4 linked regions of the Caenorhabditis elegans genome follow. The protein of the gene in region 4 binds, or shares a complex with, the protein of the main gene of each other region. Each region holds a gene or a part of one and is shown on either strand. Other genes may lie near its edges. The genes, in order: tofu-6, ife-3, pid-1 and pid-3. A codon is read from its position in the direction of its gene.

What was found.
Region 1: the proteins of pid-3 (region 4) and tofu-6 are in contact, whole or in part, in a crystal structure (PDB 7D1L), measured with the Caenorhabditis elegans proteins. Residues at the interface, in NP_491011.1 of Caenorhabditis elegans: Pro225 (codon at 3,938), Tyr226 (codon at 3,941), Asn245 (codon at 3,998), Lys246 (codon at 4,001), Phe247 (codon at 4,004), Gln248 (codon at 4,007), Tyr250 (codon at 4,013), Gln251 (codon at 4,016), Gln254 (codon at 4,025), Asp255 (codon at 4,028), Val273 (codon at 4,082), Val274 (codon at 4,085), Ser275 (codon at 4,088), Ser276 (codon at 4,091), Pro277 (codon at 4,094), Ala278 (codon at 4,097), Val279 (codon at 4,100), Leu281 (codon at 4,106), Glu282 (codon at 4,109); in NP_001293507.1 of Caenorhabditis elegans: Ala23 (codon at 4,252), Trp24 (codon at 4,249), Asn25 (codon at 4,246), Asp26 (codon at 4,243), Trp27 (codon at 4,240), Asn28 (codon at 4,237), Phe30 (codon at 4,231), His31 (codon at 4,228), Gln34 (codon at 4,219), Gly37 (codon at 4,210), Lys38 (codon at 4,207), Val39 (codon at 4,204), Ser40 (codon at 4,201), Tyr41 (codon at 4,198), Cys42 (codon at 4,195), Met61 (codon at 4,094), Gly80 (codon at 4,037), Glu81 (codon at 4,034), Asn82 (codon at 4,031), Phe83 (codon at 4,028).
Region 2: pid-3 (region 4) and ife-3 share a complex: the UniProt entries of both Caenorhabditis elegans proteins name them as parts of the tost-1 variant of the PETISCO complex.
Region 3: pid-3 (region 4) and pid-1 share a complex: the UniProt entries of both Caenorhabditis elegans proteins name them as parts of the pid-1 variant of the PETISCO complex.

Annotation. Positions count from the first base shown.
Region 1 is NC_003280.10:5,417,691-5,425,596, reverse strand, and holds tofu-6 (Embryonic developmental protein tofu-6), read right to left. Parts: upstream 4,350-7,906; 5' UTR 4,319-4,349; coding exon 4,152-4,318; intron 4,108-4,151; coding exon 4,017-4,107; intron 3,970-4,016; coding exon 3,829-3,969; intron 3,786-3,828; coding exon 3,462-3,785; intron 3,413-3,461; coding exon 3,241-3,412; intron 3,196-3,240; coding exon 3,080-3,195; intron 3,026-3,079; coding exon 2,933-3,025; 3' UTR 2,860-2,932; downstream 1-2,859. Other genes in the region: F07F6.8 (Apolipoprotein L3-like), read left to right, coding at 342-461, 519-938, 986-1,081, 1,130-1,360; F07F6.7 (Apolipoprotein L, 1), read left to right, coding at 1,766-1,801, 1,852-1,971, 2,018-2,437, 2,486-2,581, 2,629-2,754; EEED8.15 (PHR domain-containing protein), read right to left, coding at 4,708-5,172, 5,664-5,726, 5,775-6,323; EEED8.2 (lipocalin/fatty-acid binding family protein), read right to left, coding at 7,238-7,312, 7,552-7,906. UniProt on the Caenorhabditis elegans protein: Component of the pid-1 and tost-1 variants of the PETISCO complexes, which have roles in the biogenesis of a class of 21 nucleotide PIWI-interacting RNAs (piRNAs) that possess a uracil residue at the 5'-end (also called 21U-RNAs) and embryogenesis, respectively.
Region 2 is NC_003283.11:4,500-12,062, forward strand, and holds ife-3 (Eukaryotic translation initiation factor 4E-3), read right to left. Parts: upstream 3,331-7,563; 5' UTR 3,320-3,330; coding exon 3,152-3,319; intron 3,111-3,151; coding exon 2,934-3,110; intron 2,895-2,933; coding exon 2,659-2,894; intron 2,612-2,658; coding exon 2,437-2,611; 3' UTR 2,089-2,436; downstream 1-2,088. Other genes in the region: idpp-2 (Intrinsically Disordered Protein, expressed in Pharynx), read left to right, coding at 1,039-1,467, 1,525-2,012; B0348.10 (uncharacterized protein), read right to left, coding at 4,076-4,240. UniProt on the Caenorhabditis elegans protein: Recognizes and binds the 7-methylguanosine-containing mRNA cap during an early step in the initiation of protein synthesis and facilitates ribosome binding by inducing the unwinding of the mRNAs secondary structures.
Region 3 is NC_003280.10:7,686,569-7,693,830, reverse strand, and holds pid-1 (Protein pid-1), read left to right. Parts: upstream 1-3,274; 5' UTR 3,275-3,327; coding exon 3,328-3,381; intron 3,382-3,431; coding exon 3,432-3,542; intron 3,543-3,588; coding exon 3,589-3,701; intron 3,702-3,746; coding exon 3,747-3,813; intron 3,814-3,860; coding exon 3,861-4,025; 3' UTR 4,026-4,141; downstream 4,142-7,262. Other genes in the region: nhx-2 (Na(+)/H(+) exchanger protein 2), read left to right, coding at 1-76, 382-648, 900-1,033, 1,082-1,407, 1,635-1,908, 1,960-2,103, 2,278-2,367, 2,411-2,578 and 2 more; F18A1.1 (Receptor L-domain domain-containing protein), read right to left, coding at 4,142-5,175, 5,221-5,620, 5,783-6,286, 6,404-6,939, 7,199-7,262. UniProt on the Caenorhabditis elegans protein: Component of the pid-1 variant of the PETISCO complex which is required for the biogenesis of a class of 21 nucleotide PIWI-interacting RNAs (piRNAs) that possess a uracil residue at the 5'-end (also called 21U-RNAs).
Region 4 is NC_003279.8:2,617,546-2,625,067, forward strand, and holds pid-3 (Protein pid-3), read left to right. Parts: upstream 1-3,104; 5' UTR 3,105-3,113; coding exon 3,114-3,278; intron 3,279-3,325; coding exon 3,326-3,403; intron 3,404-3,449; coding exon 3,450-3,679; intron 3,680-3,738; coding exon 3,739-4,189; 3' UTR 4,190-4,314; downstream 4,315-7,522. Other genes in the region: spe-47 (Major sperm protein), read left to right, coding at 15-60, 110-300, 344-430, 1,089-1,661, 2,512-2,646, 2,694-2,804; Y23H5A.2 (t-SNARE coiled-coil homology domain-containing protein), read left to right, coding at 4,412-4,469, 4,773-5,084, 5,348-5,571; cars-1 (Cysteine--tRNA ligase, cytoplasmic), read right to left, coding at 5,815-5,883, 6,099-6,410, 6,470-6,998. UniProt on the Caenorhabditis elegans protein: Component of the pid-1 and tost-1 variants of the PETISCO complexes, which have roles in the biogenesis of a class of 21 nucleotide PIWI-interacting RNAs (piRNAs) that possess a uracil residue at the 5'-end (also called 21U-RNAs) and embryogenesis, respectively.

The sequences.
Region 1 (7,906 bases), on a different chromosome or scaffold from region 4:
TACTGGGTATTTTGTAAAATTCCAGCGGGTGTGCGCCTTTAAAGAGTACTGTAATTTCAAACTTTTGCTGCTGCGGATTTTTACTCGACTTTTCATTGTTTTTTTCCCTAAAAAAATTGTTTTCAATAAACTAAAACAATGAAAACACAAACATTTTCAAAAAATTGCGAGAAAACTATGAAAAGTCGATGAAAATTCCAAGCCACTATACTTCGAACCTACTGTACTCTTTAAAGGCGCACATCCGGTTGTATTTAACAAAAATTGTCGTATCGAGACCGGGTACCGCATCTTTCCACAAAAAATTCCCGTCTTCGTAATATAATTATTAATGAATTTAGATTCCAAGGTCAATGTCAAAAGAATTGAGTGAAACAGCATTGCGTACACAGTTTTTATTGGACAAATGGAGCAATAATCGAAGAAAAATTGTCAGACAAATGGAAGGAATTGCTGAGAAGGTATGTACTTTAATGCGAGATTTTAATCAAAATGAATTTTAAAATTTTTAATTTCAGCTGGATAATTGGGAGAAAGGATGTGCAATTTCAACAGCTGTCGGAAGTACCGTTGGTATTGCATCTGGAATTGCAGTTATTGGAGGACTTATCTTGATGCCACCAGTTGCAATTGCTGGTCTCATCGTTGGAACAGCTTCAGGAGTTTCCAATTTGGCGACAGGCATCACGAAATTTTTTCATACAAAAGGGCAGCACAAAGAAGTAGCTGCAATGATTGCAGAAGACGGTGTACTTTTTGAAGAACTTCTGAAATCAAGAGAAGAACTTATGGAAGCTGTTCGGAAAATTGTTGAAGATGAGGAATTCTTTAAACATTTCAAAAACGACGGGGACATTGAAAATAAGCTGAAAACTGTGTTCGGTGGATCAGTTACTGGAATAACTGGAATTGGAACTAGATTTGCAATTACTTCGATGGTAAGCTCTTTTTATTATTTTTTTCATCAATATTATTTATTTTCCAGGGTCGCCTCTCCTCTTCTCTTGTCAAAGGAGTTCTTCACAGTGTAGCTGTAATTGGAATCGTTCTAGACAGTGTCACATTGGCGTTGAGCGCCAAGGTACAACAATTAATTTGAAATTTTCAAAATAAAATATACAAATTTCAGACTCTTGGAGAAGGATCCGTGTCGGAACTTGGATCTTCTATTTTAGAAGCATCTTCCAAAATGGAAATGATGCGCCAAAAAGTGGTAAAACACTTTTTGAATGAAGACGTCTGGAAAGACGATGATGACGTCCTCTCCGATGTTGGTTCTATTGAAATGGTGCAGCCAGAATCTCCAAATCAGTCACTGATAATGGATCCACATCAACAAGAATCATCTGTACAACATTAATATCGGGATTTTGAATTTTTCTGGGTTTCACTACTGTTTTGTTGTTATTTTGCGAAAGTTTCATGCGAATAAATAAAATAAATTCGGCACTTCAAGTGTGGGCATTGTGAAAATAACGGAAACCCGAAAATGGTAAATATCGATTAAAATCCAGAAAGAATGCGAGCTACAGTATACTCTACAGTACTAATTTAAAGGCTCAGATGTTCAATATTCCAGGTGGTCTTGAAAAGACACCTCATTGCTCAGAATAAAAATCAAAAACGAATCCGTGTTTTTAAGGAATTATTTTTTATTGTACTGTAACTTGTCTTCATTTAAATTCTTGTTTTCTTATTAAATTATTCACTATTTCAAATTCTAAATTAACTGATTCAGAGACTTATCTACAAACTGCAAAGCGATATGTCAATCTATGAATCTTTGAAAAGCACGTTGATGGTAAGATTTTTATTCAAATTCATTTTTTATAATTTATATTTCTTGTTCAGAATGGCGAAGAAATGCCAAAGGAACTCCAGGTTAAAGCCTGGGGAGCTCAATGGCACCTCGATCGTTGGAGCTCAAACCGACAAGAGATCATGAACCGAATGGAGGAGATTGCTAAAGATGTAGGTCGATAAAACATAGTTTTTCTATTTATTTTCTAAATTTCAGCTTGACGGATTGGAGAAGGCTTCAGCCATCGCAACAACTGTCGGAAGTTCCGTTGATATTGCATCTGGACTTGCAGTTTTCGGAGGACTATTCTTCATGCCACCAGTTGCAATTGCTGGTCTCATCGTTGGAGCAGCTTCCGGCGTCTCAAATGTCGCAACTGGAGTGAACAAGAAGCTTGCTACCGATCATAAAATCAGAGAAATCAATCGAATGCTCGCGGAGGATGCGAAGTTTTTTGAGGAACTTCTTCATTCGAGAAATGATTTGTTGAACGAAGTGAGGAGATTTGTGGAGGACAAGCAATCGTCAAAGATTTTCAAAAACTTCGACGATGTCCAGTCTCATTTGAAAACACTTTTTGGTGTTTCTCTCGCCGGAATCACAGGATTCGGAATTAAAATGGCCGCATCTTCCATGGTAGAATAGTTGTTTTTTTGAAATTTAAATTTTTACCTTCGTTTTTAGGGCCATCTCACGAATGCACTTATGAAAGGAATGCTGCAGAGCGTTGCAGCCATCGGAATCGTTCTGGACGGTGTTACCCTGGCCATGAGCGCTAATGTAACCGCGAACAATGTTATCAAAATATAATATTAATTTCATTTCAGACGCTTAAAAACGGATCTTCCTCTGAATTGGCAGGAAAAATTCGTGAAGCTTCCGGCAAGATGGAAAGGATGCGACACAATGTTGTAACCAACTTCTTGAATTACGACGCCTGGAACAGCGATTAGTTTTCACTTTTCAAAGTTTCTTGATTTTTTTCTTGTTGATTTTCTTTTCTTTTTGTTGTTTTCTCGTTGTTATTTTTCTTGTTGTTGTTCTTATAAAATCTGACACTGAATTAAAATGTTCATTTTTTTGACAACATCATAGATTCAATGTAATTTCGACAAAAAAAATGGGACAGATTTACAGCTCGAGCTCACGGAGCATGTTCTTCACTCCATCAATCTTCTTGAGTAGATCTTTGACGACATCAGCATCGTTCGAAATTTGAGCAGTCTGAAAATAAAGCCAAATTAAAACTGAAAATCCCTTTAAATCATCAAATCTCACCACTCCAGAATTATTGTGCTGAAGAAGAGTCTCGCGGGAGTATGCATAGTGTGGCTGCTGACTGCGTGGCAAGTATTCACAGACACCTTTACGTTGAAGACGGTCAGCAAGAATCGCTGTAAAAATTATTATGAGGGGAATTTTCAAAAGAAAAAACGCACATTTTCCACAGAACAGATTGATCATGTTAATAGAGCCTTGAAATCCACAAGCCATGGCGTGAAGCGTCGAATTTTCCATTTGTCCCCATTTTTTAACAACCTCGCGAATATTATCAAATGATGGAATGGCGACTGGTGACCAGGTAAGACCATCTAGTCCACACAAGGAAACCTGAAAATAAATAGAAAAAATATGTTAAACATTTGAATGGAACTCTTACCCTTGTCGGCATCGACTGGAAAACTTTTGGCAATTGGAAGCATTTTGCCTTCTCATAATTGATAATTTTTCCAAAATCAACGAGATAAAGCTTGGTGGCTGAGATGCGTCGAACGCGTCGAACGGAACGGGGAGCATCACGGAAGACTCCATCGTAGCCAATTTCGAGCTCCGAATCGAATGGAACAATTTGAGCATACGCGTTCATTTTCTCGTGCATTGAATCATATTTTTCTTTCATTGACGAATCATTTATGCGGAGAAGAGTCAACGCGAAAAGATCTGGAGCCACTGATGAGGATGGAAGATAGTCGACAACTTCGACCTAAATTGAAAATTTAATATAAGCTGAAGGAAAAGTAAGAAACCTCGATATCCTTGTTGAGTGGAAGCCAGGATGATGATAGAAGAACTGGTCCGCTTTTCGATGGTGGAGATGATACAAGCTTCTGAACGGAATTGGAAGCCATTGGGAGAAGAGATCCTCCGACGTTCTTATGATCGGTAACCTTAAAATTACAGTTTTAATTTGAATTTATATATTCGCAACGCTCACCTTCAACGTGAAATTTTCGCCGATCAGATTTCCGTCGTTCAAATTCTTGCGAACTTCATCAGCATCTGCTACCGACATCATGTTCACAAATCTGAAGATTTTAAATGAATCGTTTCTAGAGTCTCACTATCTTACCCCAATTGAACTTGACCATCGTTGGATTGTCCAACAACACGGCAATAACTGACTTTTCCAAAGTTTTGGAAGACATGGAACAAGTTCCAATCATTCCAAGCTTTCGGAATATTGCGAATATGGAATCCGGCGTCTTTCAGATAATATGCGGTCGAGCTGGAAGCCATCTCTAAAAAATGTAATTCTGAAACTGAAAATATTCTTGCTTTAATTTTAAAAAAATGCTTGAAATGCAAAAAAAGCGAGCAAAAATGAAATCTCCCATTTTTCGCGCGTATTCCAGCGGTGTGCAATAGAGCGCACTTGTTTAAAAAAAACTACAGTACCCTTGAAATCATTATTTACAGGCACAGAATTTCGAAAAGATTCATTATTTCCCACGGAGAACGATTAAAATGATTAAAAATTGCTTTAAAAAATTTTGAAAGACAAATGGACGGAGAAAATTAAAAATTATTGAATAAAATAGCGAATTAATTAATGCTGTGAATTTGAGAATCATTAAGATGATATTTCGTTGCGAGACCAAGTTGTGTGGATTGAAGAAAGCAGGTGATCACCAAAATTTGAGATAGAGTCCTCCGACGTTTGCAATTGAGTACAAGATATCTGATTTTCCCTGAACTCGTTCAAAAATGCGTATAGTCCTTTCGCCGGAATTGTTTGTGTGCACATTGTACAATTTTCCATCTTTAATGTATCTCTCCTTTCTTACACAAGAAGTTCCATCTTTATTCTTCCAAATTGTTATCATTTTATTTCTATAAATGAAGGTTGATACAACAATTCCACCGGTTATCTCATGAGTTCCAAGTTTCAAACAGCCACTGTTAAACGTTTTACAAAAAACTTGATTGTGAGATTTCAGATAAGTACCATCGAAGTTGTATACGGTGTAAGCAGCAAGAGTTTTCAGACGATTTGGGAACGATACTCCACGGGTTTTGAGTGTTTCATTATACTTATTGATCTCGGAGAGCCGCCAAGCACCGCAGATTCCAGTTGCAATCGGAGTGTAACGCTGGAAATTAAAACAAATTTTTGATGGAATATATATTGATAGGGAGGAGTTTTAGGAAAGCTACTCCCGAATTGTAATCCAAAATGAGACTGATTTTTCACAAAATCTTTTGTTTAAAGCCTATGATTTTTTTAAATTATTATGTAGATATTTCCAACTGAGAATGCCTATTACGCAACATATTTAACGCTCAAAATATCTCGAAGAGAAATCCACAGTAATATGTAAATGACTACTGTAACCCCAAATCTTTCAGTTTAGTTCGAATTGAAAAAGTTACTGTAGGTTTCGCTACGAGATATTTGCGCAGAAAATATGTTGCGAAAATTAAAATCCATTTAGTTTCAGGAGTTTTTTGGTTCAAAGTAGCTCTACATTATTCAAATTGCACTGGAGTTCACTTCCAAATGTAAAAAATTGAGAGTTGGCAGGCATGTACGCCTGCCTGCCACCGATGCCATGGATGCCTTAAGTTCCTTCCAAAAATTTACCTGTAATTCCTTCTGTCTCTCCCTTTCGTCAATCTCGTCGAACTTCAGTTTGAGAAGTCTTATCTAGAAAAAAACATTTTCAACTAATTTTATCCCTACAAAAAACTATACCGTTGAATTTTGTTTCACTTCCGTTTCTTTCATCTCTTCGATTTCAGATCGTAATTGGCGAATTTCAGACAAAAGTTCTGATTTTTCAATTTCGTTGGGTTCACCCACGAGAGGTTCCAATGCCCCAAGTGGATCACTGTAACGAATTTCAGTGGTCTCTGATATTTGTTGATCCTTAACGGCTTCAGCGATTTTTTCAATAAGATCATCAACTTTTGCAGTAAATCCCACATTGTTTCCAATCCCGAATTCATCGGTGTTGGACACTTCACGAGATATAGTTTCCGATTTTTCAGATTCTTCAGTATCATCATTCTGAATAACTTCTTGGGAAGTGTTAACTCCCGCTTCATCAGAAGATTCTTCTTTTACAGATACTGCTTCTTCGTCAGAAGAAACATCTCCATTGATGCTAAGGATATCTAAAGCATCTTGAACTTCCTTCGACCTCTGTTCCATTTTCAATGCCATCTTTGCCACTTGAGATTCGCCATCTTCCTTCACAAATTCAAAACTCGAATCACTGGATGATCGGCTATGCGAAGACATTGGTTAAGGAGACGAAGAAGAATGAAATTGGTACCAAGTCTGAAAATAAGAATAGGTATATTATGTGAGCAAAGGAAAATCGCCAAAAAAACAAGATATATGCAAAATCTTCGAAAGTCAGTATGCTTCCACTTCAGCACCTTAATTTGAATATCCTTATTGATCTACTTTTCTCTGGGTTAACTATGGAAAAAATTATCGACTGACGAACAGTGGAGGTGCAATACTGATACACTGGCTGCAACAGGGTATCTCTGCTAATATCAATTAGGGCTCATGAACTTTTTGAATTGAATAATTGAATAATATTTCTTGAAAATCGGGTATGTCGATTTCAGTCATCTTCGATATGATTTGTTTCAAGAACTTTAAGGAAGTTTGCAGCCTTACCCAGTCTAGCCTAAGCCTAAGCCTAAGATGCTCGAAACAGTACAATCTTCAACGATTTTTTCGGATATTTTTTAGATGTCGTATAAAAAGCTAGGCGTGGAACCTAGAGTCCTATGCCACTACAGTGCACAATAGCAAGACAAATAACAAAACGAAAACCGAAGCACGTAAAGAAAATGTAGATCTTTCTTGTTCTAGGAGAGGTCACACCACCACACGGGGTGGGTGTTCTCACACAATCGATGCGTAGATGGCGGGACCAAGAGAACAGAGAACAGAATAAGAGCATCTGTTCGTTTTCTTTGTTTCTCTTCGTATCACACACTATTTGCTAAAGGTGGTTATTAGTTCCACGGTACCAGCCAGCCAACCCTCGAAAATTTGCGTGTGAGAGAGAGTGAACGAGAAAGATAGAGAAATGGCCAAGAAAGAAAATTGACGGATTAATTAGATTTATTAATATATATTGGAACATGAGAAGCGGTACAGTAATCTATAGAGAGGAGGCAATTAAAAAAAAAAAGTTAATAATAAATATTCTGGCTCTCCGATCCGTAGATGCTTCTTGGGTAAGCACGTGAGTCTCTCTGGTCAGGAATCTGAAAAAAATAAATAATTATTTTGGAACGAGAAACAGATTTAAAAAAAAAAGTAATATTCCAGCTTTCAGTTTGTACCTAACAATAACACAACTCTTGTTAATCTTCCAATTTGAAAAACCTCTAAAATGAAAGCTTTTTATCAATCACTTGTCAATCAGTTGTCACCCCCTCTGATTGGTCTAATGTTTTTAGAGGGAATTCAAATTGAGAGTTGGAAAACGAAGATATTCACAAACCTTCTTGAAGATTCTCTCGCAAATGACTCCATTTCTCTCCCAGATTTCTTTCATTTGTCCATCGACAACCGATCTCTCAACTCGAGAAATCACTTTTTTCTTATCATTTTCTTCTTGTGTTACAGTTAGAATCAACTTATTCTTCTCCACAGAATACAATTCTCCCAGGGAATTCGGAAAATTAAAATAATGGATTTCTTCTCTTGCACGTGGCTTCCAACTTCTTTCATGGTACGATTGAGTTTTCACTTGATGTTTGTTCACTTTAAAGTACAAACATTGATTCTTAATTATCAAAGCATGGAATTGAGATATATCTTGAGCTGCAAAGAATTCATCGAAATTGCTGATCTTG
Region 2 (7,563 bases), on a different chromosome or scaffold from region 4:
TGTCTTGATATCTTCATTGAACAATTTGTAAAAATCGTAAGGCGGTAGTTTTTTGATAAATGTCATCGTTTTTTAGTAAAATTGCGTTAACCATTCAAAAATGGCCCATTTTTGGTGTTTTCAGGCCTAATTCTTGTTTTTGAAATTCCGGAGCCAGTTTTTATCGAAAATTTTTGTGCAATGTCAAAAAATGACCGGAAAAAAATTCTCTACAATCGTAAGGCGGTACTTTTTAAAATTTCGTTTCCATTCTTCCCCAGGGATCCCGTAAAAAACCAATTTTTCGACTAGGTCTCACATTTTGCCCTACAAGAGCATAGTTAATGTTATAAATTTGGATTTTTTGGTCGAATTTGATGAGGTAATATTCAGTTGTTTGTTTATTGTTGGAAAATCTGAAGATTTATCAGCGAATCGCCCGATTTCGCCAATTATGACCAAAAAACCCCTAGTTTAGGATTTTCACGAATGGATGAGTTCATTGATACGCTTCCACGCTGTTTTTGGTTTCATTCAGACGCTACTTGCCTGATCTATCAGTCTAACAATTTTTGTTTAATTTTCTTCACTATCCGCCGTTTATAGTTCGTTCTTCCGTAATCAGTGCAAAATCGGTTCAAAAAACTCACTCTCTCGCCCATGAGAGACGCAGAGACAGTTCATCACGTTATTTTATTTAATTATTGAAATGAAGAGAGGCCGTGATTTCTGCTTTTAAAAAAGTTGATTTTTGGAAAACTTGTCAAACAGCACGTGTATTTTTCTAATAGCTCTTTTCGAGGCATGGGTCGAGCTGAATACACGTGAAACCGAAAAAAGAACAAGAAAAATCGAAACTACAGTACTCCCTAAAGGCGCACACTCTTTTCCATAAATTATTTTGTTTGATCGTCTCGAGACCTGGTATCGTAATCTTGCGAAACAAATCGCGAACTGTCGCATCTCATTTGAAAACTGGGCAAAATCCTTATTTTATGTAAATTGGAGCTCATTTGGCGCTGTAAAATGCAAAAACATAATAAAAAAGTGCATTTCCAGGTTCCCCAGACGAAGAATCCGACGTTGATTCCGGTGATTCAATTTATCGAAAGAAAGTCACCACATTCCGACGACGAAACATAAATGCCCCATTCGGAGTTCGTGTTCCTTTCAGTAGAATGGCCTATAAAGCCGGTTATGGATCAAACAGAATGGGCTATCGGAACACGGGATCCCCGCCACCCCCACAAATAGGTGGCCTCTACGGTGACCGTAATCCGAATCCATATGGCACAGTGAATCTTGGTGGAGGTTCCCCATATCCTGGGGGTCTAGAAGAGTACAATATCCGGCCGGCCGCTCCATTTTCCGGACTGGTCGGAGGAAGTCGATCTGGGTACTACGGGAGCACTGTTGGTATGAGACGGGGTGCCGTTGTGCCGCCTATGAGCTCCAGGAAGACGAAAATTCCACAGACTGAGTATCCACGTAAGTATACGATTTTTCTATGCGCTATAAAATTCTTTAAAATCCGCTATTTTCCAGCTGATTACGCATCTAACGACCTGATGAACAGTTTCAATGGAGCTACAAATTCCGCGATCCCATCACTTCGCGAGCTTGCCACCTATGCGTCACGCTATGGTCCCGCATATCTTCGCGAACGATTCGGAAGCCATGATTCCCAACTTGAGCGTATGCTTTATGGCGGCAGTGGACCACAGATCCCATCACGTGGAGGAGGAATTCCCATAGATTACAACATGAACATTGCTTCGAATCACTGGAACCGAGGAATTGGCTCTCCGATGGGAATTATGTCGCGGGATGTTGATTCCTATCAACACGACGATGCGGCCAAAGCAAACAAAAAGACCACTACCGGCTCGCCGAGCACGACGAGCACACGGAAACCTCGGAAAGCTAGGAAGCCAACCAAGAAGACTGTTGCCGCAGCTCCTTCGTCTAGCTCGAACACATCGACTACGGCAAAGCCTGCAAAAACTGTAAAGACATCGGAGAAGTCTGCCTGAAAACAAGAATAGAATCAATTTTTAAAAATGTACAAAATCAAACGCCCTACAAATCATGTGTGTGAAGAAGAATAATAACTAACATATCTATTTATATTTACCGAATAAATATATATTCATCAATTAACCTGAAGAACAAACGAATTCGGCTACAGGCGTCGATCAGTCTCGAATCTAGTAACAACAAGAGAGCAATACGAAAACCGGTAAATCAATAGGGGGAAGCGAAACAGTAGGTACAAATTGGAGGGGAAGCACCAATACATTAGGTGGGGGGTACGACTTGAAAAATGAGCTGATTTTCGAATAGTTAAAGCGATGATCGTGTCCGAAAAACAGTTCATTTTTCAAGACAACATTGAGACTGGGAGTACGGGGAAGCTCATTTACGGTGAGAGGAATTGGTGAGATCTTTAGAATATGCTTAAGGAGTTGGGGTGGCTGGAGAAGTTCCTGTAGCCTCCGTGCCGGGATTCGATGGAGAAGTCGTTGCGGCTGGTCCCTTTTCCTTCACTGGTGCTGGATCCTTGGCTGGAAGACATATGCGTGGCTTGACAGTCGATGAGGTGCGAGCCGACGAGTCCTTGTGAACTTCGTATCTGGAAATATTTTACTTAGATAGCAAATACTAAAATTGTAAAATTACCTCAAAATCTCAGTATCCGGAATGCTCAATTTCTGCTTCAAAACCTGTCCGATGCGAAGATTGACATCATCGCGAGTAGCATCACGAGTCCACAAGGAAACCTTGTCACCCTTTTGACGAACATTCACGACAGCTCCGCAGATGTAGTCTCCGTACTCGTCGAATTGCTCTCCAACAATAGCCATCAACAGCTCCAACCAGTAGTGATCGAGCAATTGCGTTCTTCTCTGAAGCTTCTATGATTCATTGAATAAAATATATTTCTCAAAACGTACTTGCTTATCGACAACAACCAACCAACGTCCACCTTGAACGTTGTTGACGTCCTCCCACATTGGCTTGATTCCTTCCTTGAACAAGTAATAATCGGATCCCCAGTTCAATCCTCCGGCAGACTGAATGTGATTGTACAGCGACCAGAAGTCCTCGACAGTGTCGAAAAGTGAAACCATCTGGAAAAAATCGATAAAAGACGTATTTAAAAATCTTCTACCTTCAGACAATCCTCCCATTCCTTGTTACGGTCAGCTTTCAAGTACCAGAGAGCCCAGCGATTCTGGAGGGGGTGTCTGGTGAGAAGCTCTGGAGGAACTGAAGCATCGGACGCATTCACATCGCCGGAAGCTGACAATGCTTTGTTTTCCGCTACGGATGTGCTCATTTAGCTGAAAATAGGTAATATTATATACGATTAGAGCTCGGAAAACGATAAAATAGAGAAGAGTATGAATTTGGTTCAAATAACTCGGATTTTATAGGAAATTTTGTTTTACTGCACATTTTCGGCTAGTTTCCAAGCTTTTTAGATTTTTCAAGTGTAATTGGTAACATCGGGCACAATAAATTGATATTAAAGCTTGGAAAACAATAAAACAAAGTAGAAAATGAATTCAGCTCAACTTCGACGAAAAATCATCAAATGATTCGTTTCCCATGAAATTCCTAGTAGTTTTTAAACATTCTAGCTGTTTTTTAATCGTAAAAGTGAAAAAAAAAAGAGCGATTTCCCCGAAAAACCTTGGAAAATGAAGAAATGGAAAGAAAGGCGCGAATCCTGAAATTCAAACACCAGACACACGCAAAACGAGTGTAACCGTAGTTTTTGTCGTTGCGAAGTATCTTGTCTGCGGAATTGCGCCCCCCTTTAAACAAAACAGCGGAAAATATGAAAATTATTTTTGTATTAAAATAAAAATCGAGTTGTTTAGGTAAAATTTTTCAAATTTTATTGAAAATTCGGTAAAATAATGAAATTAATCGCTGAAAACTCGTTATTCGCACAGAAATTGAGCTCTTTCAGGGAATTCAGGCTAAAAAATTATATTTTCAGGTTTAAAATTCAAAAATTTATTTTCCAGATTGCAGTCGATAATCTGAGTTTTCCCAAAAAATGTGCATTGTTTACAGCCTGTGGTTCTCAATTTCTCCAATTTATCCACGAGTGCGTCTCCGTTTTCTTTTCTCCTTCTGCCGCATTCAGCGTCGCCGTCGTCGTCAGGAATTCATGAGCCGTCCCGGTGTCTCGAGCTCTTGTGAGCATACACACAGACACATACAGCAGCAGCCTCCACAACATGCACATATAAATATATCGGTCTGGGTGTTGCTGCTGCTGCCGCTGGGCGCCTTTTCCCTCTCTGTGTGCCTCAACTCGTCGCACATATCTCTCTCTCTCTCTCTCACTTTGCCTTGTTTTCCCTGCCCATCGTCCCGTAAAAAGGTGGCCAGACAGTTCTCCGAATCGCAGAGACGCAGCAAGCGTTGCCCCGAGGCGCCATTCGTCTAACCTACTGCGTCTGACACCCCGCCGTCAGACGACGTCGGGGGCCCTCCGACGACGACTTCTTTCGCTGTATTTCTCTCTCTCCTCCGTCTCCTCCTCCTCTCCACCACATCGATTTTCCCGTTTTAGAGTGTTGGCGGTGAGCCATAGTCACGAATACTTTGTCTATTTTTTCGGCGACGGCTGTTGGGCTTCTCTTCTCTGCGTCTCTCGCACTCTTGTCCGCCTTCTGACCGTCATAATTACCACGTCGTCCACGTAAAGTCTTCGGAGAGCGCCACGCCCCCACACACACATACACACAACATTTTCGTAGCCGCATTATTCTCCTAACAATCATCGTTTTTTGCTAGTTTTCAGTAGTTCCACAGACTTAAAGGAGGATCACCGAAATTCGAGACTTGGCTTTTTGGGACCCAAAATGTTCCAAAACTAATTTCGTAATGAGATGTTCTGAAAATTTCTCAAAAAAAAAAGTTATGACCGCTCGGAAAATGGTATATTTTCAGCTAAAATCTTAAATTTTGACAACTTCTCAGTGTCGCAGCGGTAGGAACTAAATTTTGATGTGATTATCACTTTTTAGTATGTATTTATTTATTTTCATTTCCACTCACACACGCGAAGCCCACAGCATTTGAAATTCTATAGTTTGTTTGCAGAATAGAGGTGTGCGGCACAAAAAGTTTACTGGAAAAAAGTAAACTTTTTTTGCGGCAAAAAAGAGTCGGAAGCTCAATTTTTTCAGACTCTTCTTATATATTTCGACAAAATAATTATGTTATCATTTCCTATTTAAGCGTCTTAAATTGTTCGCATAACAATGAGGAATTCCACGTTATATGGAAACGCTGTAAAAAGATCTCTGGTGAAATCGCGCTCCACGAGCTATTGAAAACGCTCCAAAAAACGAAAACTAGTTTTTTTTTTAATTTTTAAGTTCTTAATACTTTTTTCGACGTAAAATTCAATAAAAACAACGAAAATACCGTATTCCCTCTATTAGTCTTGCATGCAAGACTAATTTTCAATTGACCCGTAGGGGTGCAAGACTAATAGAGACTGCAAGACTATTAGAGGCTGCAAGACTAATTTTCGAAGATCCAATAGCTTTGTAAAATTGATAATTTATCGTCAAAAATTTGACTTGAAACTGTCTAAATCGTGCAAAATACATACTTTTCTATTGTTTTATCAATTATTTGAACACTTTAAAACTTAATTTGGCTAAAAAATGGCGAAATTTTTGAAGTTTTCACAAAATACTGCTGGTCTGGCAAGAATAGGGGTGCAAGACTATTACCGTATGCTCTCTAATAGTCTTGCATGCAATACTAATAGAGGCTGCAAGACTAATTTTCGATTGGTCCGTAGGGGTGCAAGACTAATAGAGGAAATACGGTATTTGAAAATTGGCGAAACATTTGAATTCACAGTTTTGCCGCCACATGCCTAACGAGACCTATGGTTTGGGGGCGGAGCTTTGCCAATTTTCCGTGGAGCGCGTTTCCACATCGATTTCGAATTATGTTTTTTTAAATCTAAACCAATGAAAAATTCAAATTCCTGTGCCTCCGGCTTTTCTCAAATTCAGCCGCGACCAGTGTCTATAACGGAGACTGGAAAATTCATATTTCTCAGATTTTCTACTGAATTTTTAAGTTTTCTATGGATTTTTAAACTTATTTTTTGGTAAAAAAAATAAGTCGAGTGAAATTAAAAATTTATCGAGTTCAAAAACTCGAAAATCGTTCATAAAATTCAAGGTGCTCCACGGCCAAAAAACCGGGTACAACAAAAAATTGGCGGTAAAACATTAAATTCGAACGTTTTCAATTATTTTCAGTAGTTTTTCGATTATTTTTACGCGAAAAAAGGTTATTATCATATACAGCGCATTTTTTCCATCTCTACGACTTTGAAGGGGCGCATTTACGCGCGATCGTCTTGACACGCGCCATTCATAGATTTTTGAGGCGCGTGACGAGACCATGCACGCACTTTTGAACACCTGGTGTCACAGTGCCCCATTTCGGTTTGATCTACTTAGATCTGCGAAAATGCGGGAGTTGAGACGCAGAGTTCTCAACTGATTTCGCATGATTAAGAACATGCTGACGTCACATTTTTTTACGCGAAAAATTCCCGCATTTTCTGTAGATCAACCCGTAATGGGACAACCTGACACCGCGTGTTTGAAGGGGCCACAAACTCGTCGTTTGGCCGTGGAGCGCGTTTGCACCTCGATTGCACTTTTTCGCGCAAGAGCCCATAAGAGGAACTAAGTTATATCAGATTTTCACTGGAACACACAACAACTTCCAACAGATTAGCTTCCTACTCGGTACTCTTTTTTGCCCCCCCTTGCCTCATTGTCTACGGGAGGGGGATCCTCTTGTGTAATACGTTATTAAATTATGCCTGTCAGAGCAGCAACACACACAGACAAGTGAGTCGTCGACTCAAAAAAAGAAGAGAAAATAGAAGAAGAAGTGGATCTTCTTCTTCTTTTTCGGCTTCTCACTTTTCTTGATGCACCATACTTTTTTTCTAGTTTCACTTGCCTCTTTCTCTCTCAGTTCCCTGAAGATTTTCGTATTGTTCACAACTTGTTCTCGCGAACAATTCTACGAAAAACAGTCGTGTTTTTTATTACGTGGAGTCAGAAAGTCCCATTTCGCTTTGATCTACAAAAAATGCGGGAGGAAATCGTAGACATCTCAACTGATTTCGCATGGTTAAGAGTGTGCTGACGTCACAATTTTTCTGGGAAAAAATTCCGCATTTTTGTAGATCAAACCGCGATGAGACTTTCTGACACCACGTGTGGGCGGCAATTGCCGGAAATTTTAATTGTCGCCAAATTGCTGGTTTACCGATTGGTCGGAAATTTAAAAATTTTTGCAAGTTGCGTCTTAAGAAATCGAGATGCAATCGCGCTCCACGGTCACATGCTCCGCCCCTTTAGTTTGAGTCTCATTACATAGGTATTGGCAGCAGATCCGTTTTAAACGCTTTCAGTATTTTTTTTGAATTTTATGTCGAAATAATGTTTAAAAATGATTATTTTCAAAAATATTGACATTGCAATTATTAAAAACAACGGAACAAATAACAAAAAA
Region 3 (7,262 bases), on a different chromosome or scaffold from region 4:
TATTTTGAATGGGAGAATGTCAAGATTCCAATGACTATTTGTTTATGGTTGATTGGAGCATCGATTGCGAAAATTAGTACGTAGCTGCCACTTTGGGATGCTCAGGAAATTAAACTGCTAATTGAATCAGGGAATTGAAGAGTTGACACTTAAAAAGACTTGTTTCGATAATTGGCATTTTCGGTCTATCATAAATTAAATATAATCTTACAAAGAATATATGTTTTGAGATCAAAATTATTCTGAAAAATTGTAAATCTGTTTGTTTGATAATCAACTTTCCAAGTCTTTCGAAGAAAACTTGAATGTCCTGGAAGAAAAAGAATAAACAATAGTTATTACAATATTAAAAAGACAGTCTAAAAATTGTCAATTTTTCAGTTTTCAACTTGATTCCACATCTCAATGAACTTTTCCCGGATTCCGCGTTACTCATCATGATTGGTTTAATTATTGGAATCATTTTCAAATTGATCGGAGTCAATAAAAATGCATTTTTCCTGGAAAGTGAAGTATTCATGCTTTATCTACTTCCGCCACTTGTTTTTGATGCCGGATACTTTATGCCTGCAAGACAGTTTTTCGATAATTTTGGATCAATTCTTTGTTTTGCAATGATTGGAACTTCATTCAATATTGTCGCAATTGGTTAGTTTTAATATTTTCACAACTAATATATTTATGTACAAAGTAAAACAACATGACTATGAATTTTCAAACTCCAATTAAAAATAATGATAATTTTGTAGCTTGTAACTTCAAAAATAGTAACCTCAAAGGACATTAGCAATTTTAGTGATAAGATAACAATTTGAAATAGTCTAGAAAAGTTTTGAATATCTTTGAAACCGTTATGCCTAGTTAAAGATAAATTTGGAAATAAATCTAATAATTTACAGCTCTCTCCTTATGGGCCATCAGTTTGACTGGATTATTCTCAGTTGAAACTCCACTTATGCATATGCTTCTCTTCGGTTCAGTTGCTGCTGATGTAGATCCAGTTGCTGTAATTGTCATTTTCGAGGAATTGAAAGTGAGACAGTCTCCCAAATTTCTCTGATAACAAAGTCAAAGTTTACAGGTCAACGAAGTTCTTTTTATTGCCGTGTTCGGAGAATCTCTATTGAACGACGGAGTTGCTGTTGTACTTTATCGAATGTTCTTGACCTTCTCTGAAATTGGAACTGAGAATCTGATAACATCTGATTATATCAATGGAGGTGTTTCTTTCCTGGTTGTTGCATTTGGTGGAATTGGAATTGGTCTTCTTTTTGCATTTTTGACAAGTCTTGTTACAAGATTTGCTAGAGATGAAGAGGTCAAAGTGCTCAATTCTGTATTTATTCTCATTCTTCCGTACACTTGTTATCTTTGTGGAGAACTTTTCGGTCTTTCAAGTATTATGGCGTAAGTTAATTTATTTCAGAATTTCTTTTTTATATTGAAACTTTAGCCCTACTCATATTTTCATATTAAATTTTGTATTAAAAATCGGAATTTTAAAATGTAAACTTAAGGTCTAGAGATTGAAGATACTAATATGAAAAGTTTTGGCAAAAACCGTAATTCTCTTCCAGAGCTGTAAAACTGAAACAAAATATAACTAGAACTAATTTTCAATAAAATTTTTGCAGAATTGTATTTTGTGGTGCTGCCATGCGTCAGTACTGCCGTGAAAATGTGGACCCAGACACGGTAAAAGCCACAGAATCATTCATCAAAGTGCTTTCTCTTGCATCGGAAACAGTTATCTTTGTCTTTTTGGGACTCTCAACAGTATCCTCAAACCATCACTGGGACACATCTTTCATCGTTCTTACTGTAGTTTTCTGCTTGATCTACCGTACCCTTGGAGTTGTTGTTATGTGCTATTTCTTGAATAAGTATCGTCTGAATAAGTACACAAAGGTGAGAATTAATTTGTGTTATTTGATAAAAAAAAGTATATGTTTCATACAGGTAGACCAATTTATCATGGCTTATGGAGGTCTTCGTGGTGCCATTGCATACGGTCTTGTCGTTGCAATTCCAGATTTTATACCCGGAAAGAATATGTTTGTCACCAGTTGTATCATTGTCATCTACTTCACTGTATTCCTCCAGGTATCTTTTTAAACAATCTAGCTATATTTTATACCCGTGATGTTTTTAAAAAACATACCTTACTATTACTTTTCAGCATTTCATTTACATAGCCTTCTAATGTGCCTAGTTAAATTTTGAAAAAAAATCTGGATTATTTCCAATACTTCTAAAATAGATTTTTAACATTTTCAGGGAATTACACTGAAACCAATTGCCGAATTCCTACAAGTTGAGAAAAAGAATGTTCACTCAAAGAACATGATTGAGCATATTTACAGCGAAGTGAGTTTTCAGAACCAAAATTCCAGTGAAATGAAAATTATAGCTTATCGACACGACTATGGCTGGAATGGAAGACATTGCCGGTTTCAAGGGGCATCATTGGATTCGTGATTCGTGGAATGCACTCAACAATAATTATTTGAGACCAATTTTAGTTAATAAGAACAATATGAAGGAGATGGATAAGACTAAATTGGTCAGAAAGTACAAGGTATGGTAATACGCTTAATGATATTGTTATTCATAATTAATTTACAGCATTTGGTTGATGAAGATGCAAAGAAGATTGCACGTGGAGATTTAAATAGTAATATGGTATTTACAAAAGCTCTTATTGAACATACAAGAAGTCGAACAAATACAATGATGTAAGTTTCTTCAAACTTCTGAAATCAATTATTCCAAATACTTTCAGCGATGGAGTAAGTTCGACTAGTAAAATAGATTTCACCAAACACATGAAAGAGAATTTTGGAGTAACAGTCTATGATGATCATAGTACTGTACCTATGACACCAACTCATTTATTCCAAGAAACAACTGAAGTTGAATATTCGGTTCGGAGCGAAATCAACGACAATGATGGATTTGAAAACGATGGGTATGAATCGGACGAATCAGGAAGCTTCCACGAAAGAGTATAGGTTTTTTACCTTAATTTACAATTTCTTTCTGTTTTAAACTAGTCTCAAATAGGTAGACTGTGTTTTCTCAATAATGTACATTCATCGAATGAAATTTCTTTTTTTTCTGCATCTATATTCTCATATATTTTGTTAACGTTAATTAACAAGCTAAAAAAAAAGATTTTTACAAGTTTTTTAATTGCGCGCTACCGTAACAAGTTTTTTCGCTTCGAGACCCATGCCTTCAAAATGGACATGTGTCTTTAAAACTTACAGTAACGGTGTTAAAATTATTGCACACAATTTCTTCGGCTGACATTCGAATTTTCCAATTATGTCGGCTAAAAGGGAGTTTTCGCATATTACTTTGGCATCCACACCATTTAAAGTGAGTTTTATCATTTTTTCAGAATTAATAACAATAAAACTTTTTTTCAGAAAAGAATCGATCAGAATTCGTTAAAAACCGACTCGGATATTGAAAAAGACACAAATATCGCACACAAATGCGCTGAACGGTTCAACTACAATACAAATCTTCACAGAAAAGTAATAATCTATTAATGTTGATGACGAAAGCTTTTTTTAATTTTAGGTGACGTTGAGCGATCGTTTCGAGTTGGCAGCCCTTGGATACGAAATGAAAGCAAAGCCGAGAACAATCATCGAAAAACATAATGACTGCGACGAGTTTCATTTTATCTATAGGTTTGTGAAGTACCCACATATTATAACAAATGTTTTAATTTTCAGAAAAGAAAAGAAGAATGATTATGGAACTGGCTCACCACTTTCAGCCGGATTGAGCCTATCTAATCCGGTAAGAAATAAATATTAAATTCACGCATAAAATTATATCATTTTCAGTTGCCAGCTGGACGTGGATTCCTCTCTCCAGCGATTCAGAATACCAGCAACCAGTTCACCTTTTCTGGAAGTCCAAGAATTACCCCCCAGAAGCACACCCCAGTATCGGCCAATCACAAGCCAGCCAGATCCATTTTCGACGACATTCCTTCGAATATTGCATAAGTTTTCACTGTTAATTTACTGTTTTTACTGTTTCATCTTGTTTTGAGTTTATAAAAATGATGTTTCGTTGAATTCAAAAATTTTATAAATTACATTTTAAAAATAACGACATAAAGTTAAAGTTCTCGATCTTCAGTTCCACTCTCATCCGAAGACCTCCAGTTCATCGTTTCTATTTTCACTTTCACAAACATTTCCGAGTTATCAACACCAGCATTCAGTCTATAATCTTCTTCTAGATTAACTGGCTTATCGTAGATGTTAAAGCTTTTTCCTTTTCCATATGTCGTGATCGCCGTCTCTCGTAATTGTTGTTTCCTTTTAGCCCAGGCAATCCACTTCTCCTTTTCACGTTCACTCAAATGATTTTCCAGTTGAACCAGAAGCTCTTCGAATTTGTTCGTGTCCGTGATAATTTCGTTCGGCTCAATAATTTTCCTTTTCTCCATTATTTCCAAAATCATCAGAATTCGATCTTCTTCGTCACCTTCTGCATCGTCAATTATTTCTTTGATCGCTTTATGAACTGCTTCAAAATACTCCAATTCTCGTTCATCAGCTTTTCTTGCCTCAAGTGCCATGTTCTTCGTTCTTCCTTTCCATTTTGTTTCTCCTAAACCAGTCAGTACTGCAATCGGAAGACCTTCTTTTTCATATTTTCCTTGATCTTCATTCATCTCTTTTGCATTCTTTCTTGACTCTTTTCTTCTCAACCAACTTTGTCCTGAGAACTCACTATCCGATTCGTTCTTTTGAATGGATCTCGTCAATGCTCCAAGCTTCCGTCTCCAATTAATTGTTTTTCGATTTGCTCGGTATTCTTTCATTTCCTTTTTCCTTTTTTCTCCCATCACATCCCGTCCATCCAGACGATTTTTAACCAGAATTCTCCTCTTCCACGTCATCACATCAGGTTCTTCATCTGAAGATTTTTCGTCCAAATAAGCTGTTGGGTCAGTTTTGAGATGAATGTCCAATTCTTTTATTTTTCTCCATCGAGTGAAATTCAGGGATTTCAGGAAGATGATCACAACATCTATCATCACATAGCAAACAAATATCAAAATTGACGCCAATACACAGAGGCTCACAATTATTTCCACGAATGTGCATTTTTCTTCGTATTCTTCAAATAAAGTGTCCATTTCAACTGAAACGAATAACCTATTCATTTGATTTTTGAATTTAAACTTACTGTTGGCGCAGTCAGAATATATATGCTTCATCTTGAAAGCTTGTACCACTTTACGAAGTTTTTGAACTTCCCAGCATAGTTGAGGCGTTCTAATCATCCGAATCTTTCCATTAACAGCTCGCAGCGATAATGAAGTTCTTCTCAGATATGGATTGTTTTCAAATATGAGATCACCATCAATGTATTTCAGATTTTTGATTAATTCACAGAAGTCTGATCTTAAATTTTTGATGATCACATTCCCAAGAACTCGTTTCACTTTTCGAAGTCCCGATGCCATTCTCAATACACCACCAGCACTTCCATCAATTACAAGATCTCCTTCCACAACTTCACAATCGTCGAGTTGATGGGATAATTCGGGCCAAACCACCAAATTTTCCAGAATACCCAACGCATTCTGAAAGCCAAATACATATGTATAAATTTATACAATATTCTAAAACTCAATTCTTACTTTTTCCAATTCTATTGATAGCTATGTCATTTAGGTCATCGTGCTCCTGCTGAAATTATTTATTATCAGCAATTTATGAGAGACTTTCAAAAAGATTTAACTAACCATCCACTCAGATTCTGAATATCTTGGAAGTCTTTTCTTATCACCAACAACGGCTACAAATTTCAAACATTGATCGTCTTTTTTCTTCATCTTTAGTAGCTCCACATGTTCAAATTTCTGATTGTATCCATCTATTCTTACAGCTGACAACCTTCTCCTATCAGTTTCATTCCACACGGGGCCACATTCAACTTCTTCTAGACGCGGAAAACTATCCAAATTGGAAACAGTAGAAGTATCATGGATCCAAAGTTGACCATCTTGAATTTTACGAATCGAATTATATTTGCAAAGGCTCTTTTGTTCTGGTGATCCAGTAATTTCAACTGTTCCTCGGTGTAACTGACAGTTCTTCCAAATTGTCGTAGACGTTGTCCCTGGTCCACACTCACAGTTTCGAGATGTTGCCACTGTGAATCTACCCAAAACACGTCGAAGAACATTTGAAACTCTCCTTTCCTCACAGTCAAGACCACTATTGTTTCGAAAATAGAATATTGGAATCTGAATATAGAGTTGTTATATGAAAAACATACAATTTTACAGATCATGCCAACTAATTACAGCACTATTTTTGTTCACTTTTTATGTAAGACTTGGTTTTTCAATAATTAAACTTACAGTATACTTCGTGTTTGCCAAAGATGTATAATTTCTTCTGGTCTTTTGTAGATATGGGAATGGCATAAAAGTTGATATACATCCGATTACAGCAACTTCTGGATATTCAGCCGATCCATCAATATTACCAATTTCTCTGACATCAGAATATCCCAATTGAAGAAACCATTTCTCTAATCTTTCCAAGTGTTCATCCAGTGCAAAGTATCGAATTCTTGCGTAACGTACAATATCACCTTTATGAAATTTGATATCATCTCGATTCGTAACGTAATCAAAGGGCTGTCTTCCATCTAATATTAATACTTTCTCTTGTTTTGGACAATTGTCAAGTATTTGAAGAGCAACTATCCCAAATTTCTCGTACAGTTCGATTTTCTTTGAAATGTGCAGACAATCTTCTTTTTGCAAGTTCAAGACAAATGGAGCTGATCGTTTGAAATTCTCTCTGTTGTAGTGAATTTGACGAAGCTCCTCTAATAATAGAACACCACTTGGATCCGTGTTTTCAAATAAAAGGCATCCATTTTCATACACTGAAAATTGTTCACTATTAGTCTTGTGCCCTCACTGCTCATTCAACTTCAACACCTCATATCTCGCATGTCATTGTTTTTATCAAAAACCGTTTACTTTTAAAAATAAGTATTCGAAATTGTTTTAATAAAGCCAAAGACAGCCAAGATAAAAACTCTCAAAATGAGACAAAGGAGGTGCTAGAGAGAGTACTGTAGCTGTTTTGCAACATTTTGGCATTTTGTCATCTATCCCGAACTGCCTACAAAACGTACTAACCTATTTGTTCACTACAAATATCCCTGATCCAATTCAAACGGAGTGGCTTAACAACTTTCTCTCT
Region 4 (7,522 bases):
TAGCAAATTCGAAGATGGCGCTTGAAAGCATTGGACAGCGAAGCAAGCAATTTTATTACGGTAAGTGACGTCACTCCCCGTAAACTAGGCCACCTATGACGTCATTCAGACCATGCCGCTGGTGACACCGCAACTCAGAAGCACATTAGCCACGAGAAGAGCCAGATCAATTTGGAAATGACTGGCGAGCCAGGAGGAGGGGAGCGCCGATATTTTGAAGGGCTTGTTGGAACTAAAGAGCTTGTCATATTATCTGCACTGACCATGTGCTTGTACTTGATCAATGGAGAGTATGCACAGGTTATTGATTTTTTGCAGCCGCCATCTAGTTTTCTGTTTTCAGACAATTTGCACCGCGCTGACGTCAGTGCCGCCGGCTCTTTTTTCGTATCGAGTTTTGACAAATCAGATGACTGATAAGCAGGGATATGTGAGTTTCGAATTCCACTACGTGGTCGCGAAAAAAAAAACTCGGCCACCAACGTAATACACCGGATTTTTTCCTCCTTCGTTTGCGCGTAAAACATGGTGCATCGATGTCGGTGTACCGCACGGCCGTATCCACTTCTGGCTTTCTTCACATTTTGAAATGGAAGAGTTTGCCGAATTAGGCCATTTTGTCTCGGCCACGGTCGGGGTAGGTTTACGGCGCGTTGCGTGTCGCGTCGCGGCTCGGTTTTCATTGTGAAACTAAATGTCTTGTCCGCGTGGAGTACACGACTTCTCCACCCGTTGTCCGGTTGGCGATTGTCAGTGGAGCGCGAAAAATGCAATGAGGGAGACTGGAAGCCCGTGTACCCATATTTTTCACAGGGTTCTGGCCTGCCTCATTGAATTTTTCGCGCTCCATTGAAACTCCACACCGACAAATACATTTAGTTTTACAACTGAAACCGAGCCGCGACAAGACACGCAACGCGCCGTAAATCTACCCCAAATATGGCCGAGCTAAAATGGCCTAGTTCGGCAAAAACTCTTCCATTTCAATTTATGAGGGAAGCCAGAAATCCGTGAATAGTCCCCATATAATTTTGGTGGAAATGTTCTAAAAATCGAAAAATCCACTAAACTAAAGCTAATTTTTCCAGCACTCAATTCTGTTCTACTGGACCCTTTACGGGCTCACTGCTCTAATCGATCAATTCGCTGGAACAGCTCAAGGATACAATCTCTGCAAGTGTGGCCTCCTTGGCGTATTTTTCTTCCACGCGGTCCGCTCCAACTTGTCCGCAGTGCCCGCCACCTGGAAATTCGCGGAGAAGCTTGAAGTTCTGACGTCACTGGTTTCACAGCTGGAGACTGATGGTTTTCTGCGGAACTACGATGCGATGACACCAACGATAACCCAGTTTTCTGAGGATGACTCGCTGCAATACATATTCCCAGTGGAAGAGAATTTGGAAATGAGCACAGCGTGCAGTTTCGTGCCGTCACTTGATATGCAGAGCACCCAGAATCCGTCTCCATCTACTTTGAAAACTATGAAAATCGAGGAAAGCCGGAATTTCCAGACCATGTCGGCGATGACGTTGGCCTGCGGTGGAGCTGCAGCAGATATTGTCACCGTGCCGGCCGACCGGATCACGTTTGCCGCTGGCAAGCTGGAAGAAGTTATTCGAGTCACTAACGTCTCGCAATCGCATATTATGTTCGCTTTGAAGGTGAGGTCTCGGTTTGGCGCGTAAAATTGTATGTATTGTGGTTTTTGTGCAATTCACCGACTTCAATGCATCGGACTTTACGCACAAGTTGGTACTTTGTGATTTTCCAAACATTTTTGCTGAAAAAAAAAATTGAAAATTCGAATTTGCGTGTAAAATTAACTCGCAAATTATTACGATATTATCAAAATATATAAACTGACATGTGAAACGTGGCTTATTTTTTATTTTGTTTTTTATTTAAGCGCCTCCCATTTTTTTAAATGAGCTAATAAATAAAAATTTTAACGAAAGGCCAGGAATGGGAGGAGCTTAAATAAAAAACAAAATAAAAAATAAGCCACGTTTCACATGTCAGTTTATATATTTTGATAATACTTAACACAAAATTCTGAGAATGCTTATGGCGCAACATATTTGACGCGCAATATATCTCGTAGCGAAAACTACAGTAATTCTTTAAACGACTACTGTAGCTCTTGTGTCGATTTAACGGCTCGATTCTAGATAGAAATTTTTAGATAGCTAATTAGATATGGATTTTCGAAATATCGATAGAATATTAAAATTAAGCAAAAAAGTAAATAATTCGAAGAAACGAATTGTTTTCATTTCGAAAACGAAACCCGTATATCGACACAAGTGCTAAAGTAGTCCTTTAAAGAATTACTGTAGTTTTCGCTACAAGATATTTTGCGCGTCAACATTCTAGAAATCTAGAAATTTCTAGATTTCTAGAAAATCTAGAAATTTCTAGAAATTTCTAGACGCATTCTAGAAATTTTGTGCTCCCGTAATATACACAAATTGAATTGTATAATGTAAATTGTTTGAAAACCGATAATTTCAGACAAATGCCGACGCCTACCTCATCGCTGCTCCAACTTCTGGAGTTCTTCTGAGCGGACAAAGCATGACAATCCGTGTTGGAGTCACTGGCAACTACTTCGATGATTTTTCGGATCCTGGAGTTTCCATTGATAAGGTTATTTTATAATTCTATTGAATAAAACTTCAATTTCCGATTTCCAGCTCGCCATCGACTATGCTCTGATCCCCAGCCGTTCCTACTCCAAATTTTCCTCCGAGTTCTTCTATTCCCAGAACCGACGTCGCCTCGCAATTCGTGTGTTCTATCAATGATTTGTCTCTTTTCTCGACTTTATTTTATTTATTTTTGTATTTGTAAAAAGCTTTTATGAGTAAAATTGTGTTTAAATCATGTTTTCCTGGCATTTCTACTTCCATGGGAGATTTCGATCCCTAAAACTGAGGTTTCAAACAAGCTGCAAGTACGCTCTACCGTACGAAGCCATTTTCAAACGCGGGAAATTGTTTCAAAAATTAATTTCGGAGATTTCTTTTTCATTTTTTCTGATTTTCTCGGCCTGTTTCTTCAGTTTTCTTGTAAAATTTACTGTTTAATTAATAAAAATGTACATTTTTCAGAAAATGGTTGCCCATCAGAAGGCGGATTTCAAGTCGAAATGGGCGATGGTCGTGACTGTCAATAACCTGAATGACAAGAAGCGAGCCGATTTGAGAGAATTTTCCGAGTGGTTTATCGAGACTTTGAGATTGGAAGGAGCTTTTATTGGTCACTATTTCAATTATGAGGTTATTAAGAGTTAATAATTAATTAATTATAAATGCAATAATTCCAGGCTGCACCGGTGACCATCGTCGAGACTTTGCCAGGCAATTTTGACTCATGCACTAATGCATATCAGAAGATTCACAAGGTTTTGATGGATAAATTAAATAAAATTCAATTAAATAATTCTTCAGGAGCATCCGCAGGTCGTCCTCGTCGTGCACATTCTTCCACAGTCGCAGTCGAACGAGTACGAGTGGATGAAGGTGTTGGCGTCGAGATACGGATTCGTCCGTCAGGGATTGCTCTACGATAACTGTGCCAATCGTTTCCAAAATGTGGAAACCGATCAGAATAGCGTGTTCCGGAACATGTGCCAATGGATTTATCGTAGCGGCACCGCGATTGTGAGAAATGAGGGAAAGTAAGTCGAATTACATTTTTTTATTTAGCCATTTTTTATTTAATTCCTGTGTGTTTCAGCGCGTGTGGAATTCTCCATGGAAAAGATCCGAAACCGACGTTCGACAAGGTTCTCTTCAACAGCGAAGACATCAAGGATTCCGTTTTCAAAGTTCTTCACGCCGAAGAAGAGCCGAGAGGTGCGGATCAGGAGAACATGCTGAAGATCAGTGGATATCCGGGGATGCTCAACACGTTCGGCATCGCACAACTTCTCACCCCATATCGTGTCAATGGGATCACCATCACCGGCGCCCAGTCGGCCGTCGTTGCCCTGGAGAACAAGTTTCAAGTCTATCAGGCCGTGCAGGATTTCAACGGGAAGAAGCTCGATCGCAATCACAAACTTCAAGTTAGCAGCCTCGTCGTCTCGTCGCCAGCCGTTCCACTCGAGTGGCCATCGCTCAAAAAGTCGAAGAAGCTCGTGGAGCAAGTGGGAAAGCCGATCAGACTTTCGAAAGTCTCCTCTTAAATGTGCCCCAATTTGCTTATAAGTTATTTTTTTCTGATTTCTGATGATCTTTCTTCGATATCTCGACCTTTACCGGTTTTTTTAATCAATTTGCTCATATTCCTTGATAAATAATCTCTCCATTAGCATGTGCGATTTTTTTTTCATTTTAATCTGTTAAAATCGGGGCTCGATTCTTGTTTTCGTTGGAGAGAATTGTTCTTAAAATAAGTAATTTTTTAGATGGAAGAAGGCAGCTCCTCACAGCCATCCGACGACTATGAGCCGAGATATAAAATTTGTAAGATTTTCCAGGTCTCGACACGACAATTTGTGTTCATTACAAATAGGTGTGCGCCTTTAAAAAAGTACTGTAATTCAGAGAAGATTTTCTGCGGAATTTTGATAGATTTTTCAGAGTTTTTCTCTCGATTTGTTGAAATTCAAGTGTTTTATTGTTATACTAGAACATTAAGCATATTTTTACTAAAAAAAAACAAAAAAAATCGAATAAAATTATGTGTCGAGACCGGTGTTCGGCCCAAAACTTCCACAAAAAATAAAATCTCGAAAAAACTCGTGGCGAGACCCAATTTTCTTCCAGCACGACCAAATCAACAAATGCGACTTCCTATAATTCGGCCTAAAATCCCGCCGAAATCCTCAGGCCCACCGGTTCGCCTGATCACCTCCGCCACTCCACAACCGATAGCGCCGAGCACATCGAACCCGCGGCCGCTGATCTCACTGCTCGATCGGACAGAGTTTCGCGATCGGAATCGACCGGCGCTGGTGCCGACGAGAATGATGGCAAAACCGAAGAAGTGCTATTACACAGAGATGGCCGATATTCGAAAGGAATTCGGAATACCCGAAGCGCTGGACACTGTGAAGCCGAACACGATGAGCGGCGTTGGTCAGTGCTCGGATGAAATTTATTTAAAATTCGAAAATTCCAGTTTTTCGTATAATTTTCCACTACCGCTGCTACCGATACGGGACCAGGTCTCGGCACGATAACTCAAACGGATGTGCGCCTTTAAGTTAACTTTAAATCGGTTTTTCAGTCTTTTTTTAACGAAAAACTGGAAAAAGTACCTTTAAAGGCGCACACCGGTTTTTGTTTACAAAAAATTGTCGTGTCGAGACCTTTTCGCTCAAAATTTCGAATTTTTTCAGCACTGGCGTCAAAGCTCAACCTCCTACAACGTCTACGCGGCGAGAACAAATTCCTGCGCGAATCGATCGAAACGAGACAATCCACGTGCGACGAGCGGCTCGATCAAATCGAAGGGTCTCGCAACGCGACCGCCGAAGCCGCACAATTCTGCCAGGCGCTCCGAGACGATCTGAACACCGTGGAGATGGATATCGCCGGACTACGGGCTCAGGAAGACACATGATTTATTTGGATTCTGCGGATTACAATAAAGTACATTTAATAAAGAACAATAAACCACCGTTTTTTTTTTGGATTTATGTATGTGTCAAAAGTCGTCAGAGAGGGATACCCAGTAGATATGTTGAACAAGGGGGGGGGGGGAATAAAAAAAAGAATCTAATAAAACAGAAACGCAATATAAAGCACAATTATTAGAAAGAACACTGAAAAAAAACAATAAATTAATTTATATTAGCACTAATATTTATTGCTGATACTTTTTCTTTTGAGCTTCGTACACCTTCTCCAGCTTTTTGATCTGACTCTTCGTGATCTGAAATAATATTTAAATTAAATAATATCTGTAAATAAAATAATTTCAGAGGCACCACGAATTCAAGATTGGTGGAATTGCGGATCTACGTTCTCCGGATCTCGAAGAAAAACGCCGTTTATTTGGAAATTTTCTTCTGGAAAATACGCGTAGATCCGTAATACCACCAGATCTTGAATCCGTGGTGACTCTATTTCGTAGTTTCGTCGTTTTACCTCCGTTCCATCAGCCAAATGAGTCGGTACACCTCGTTCATCAAACTTCGAGTATTTCCCGACGTGCTCTCCCTGCTTGAACAGCTCTTCCGGCTTGATCTTCTTCGCTGCCGCCTCCTTATCAGCCTTCTCCCGAGCCTTTTGCTCCTTGTCCGCCTTTTCCTTATCCTTCCGCTTCTTCTCGGTGTCCTTCTGCTCTTGCTCTCGGAGCAATGTGGCACGATCCACAAGCTTCACAACGGTCTGACCATTTCGATCCTCGAGGCGAACTCCGAGTTCGGTGAGGGTCTTGTCACGAAGAGTGTCGCATTCCTGAAAAATTTTGAATTATTTTATTTATTTTAGAAAAAATTAAAGAAAAAATATAAAACCTCAAGAATTCCATTAACTTTGTGCTCTTTTGCGATAAGCCGAACTTTTTCGCGAAATTGAGCAAGAGCATCCAGGTACGGCATGACGACGGCTTCCTTGTTAAACGATGTTGAAGCTCCTTCGCCATTGCACTCATCCTCGGAAACGAATCCGATCTCCTGGTTGCTCTGTGGAATTGCTCCAAAGATCTTGAGCAGATTTGTGATGTAGGCAGCGATATTTCTGAGCAACAGGCAATTCGGAACGTGTCCCTCCTTCTCCTTCTCCACAATATAGGCATTTCCAAGGGAAATCAGCTCTCGGAACTTCTCGATCACAGATCTGGTATCCACCGAATCACAAAGCGCCTCGTGAACTTCCGACTTGAGCTTTCCAAATTCCTCCATAAGCTTCAACTCTTTTCCTTGGAATTTTTGGTATCCTTCTGATCGATCTGGCTTGTAGTGTCTTCTCAAAAAGTCCTTGACGAGAAGGAAGAACTCGTTGGTGATTTTCTCGAATTGAAGGGCTCTTTCCATAGTTGAAGAGCTGAAAAATCGTTTTTTTTTTTGAAATTTAGAATATAGAAAAAAACGCTCGAAGAATGTCTGAGAGTTGAAAATTGCCAGAAATCACCGGCAATGTTCACTTTATAGGAAAATTTGGAGCACTTTTCCAACTGTTCCAACTGAAATAAAAGCTATTTTCACATGTACCAAGTCAGGGGTAGGCGGCAATTTTTTTTTTGCCGACAAATATGGCAAATTGCCGTTTTTCCGACAAATTCGGCAATTTGCCGGAAATGTTTAATTTTGGTAATTTGCCGATTTGCCGGATATTTTTAATTCCGGAAAATTGCCGGGTTACCGATTTGCCGGAAATTTTTAATTACGGCAATTCGCCGGAAATTTCCAATTCCGGCAATTTGCTGATTTGCCGGAAACTTTCAATACCGGCAATTCGGACGTTAGCCGGTTTACCGATTTGCCGGAAATTCGAATTCCGGCCATTTGCCGGAAATTTGCAATTCCGGCAACTTGACGATTTGCCGATTTGCCGGAAAATTTCAATTC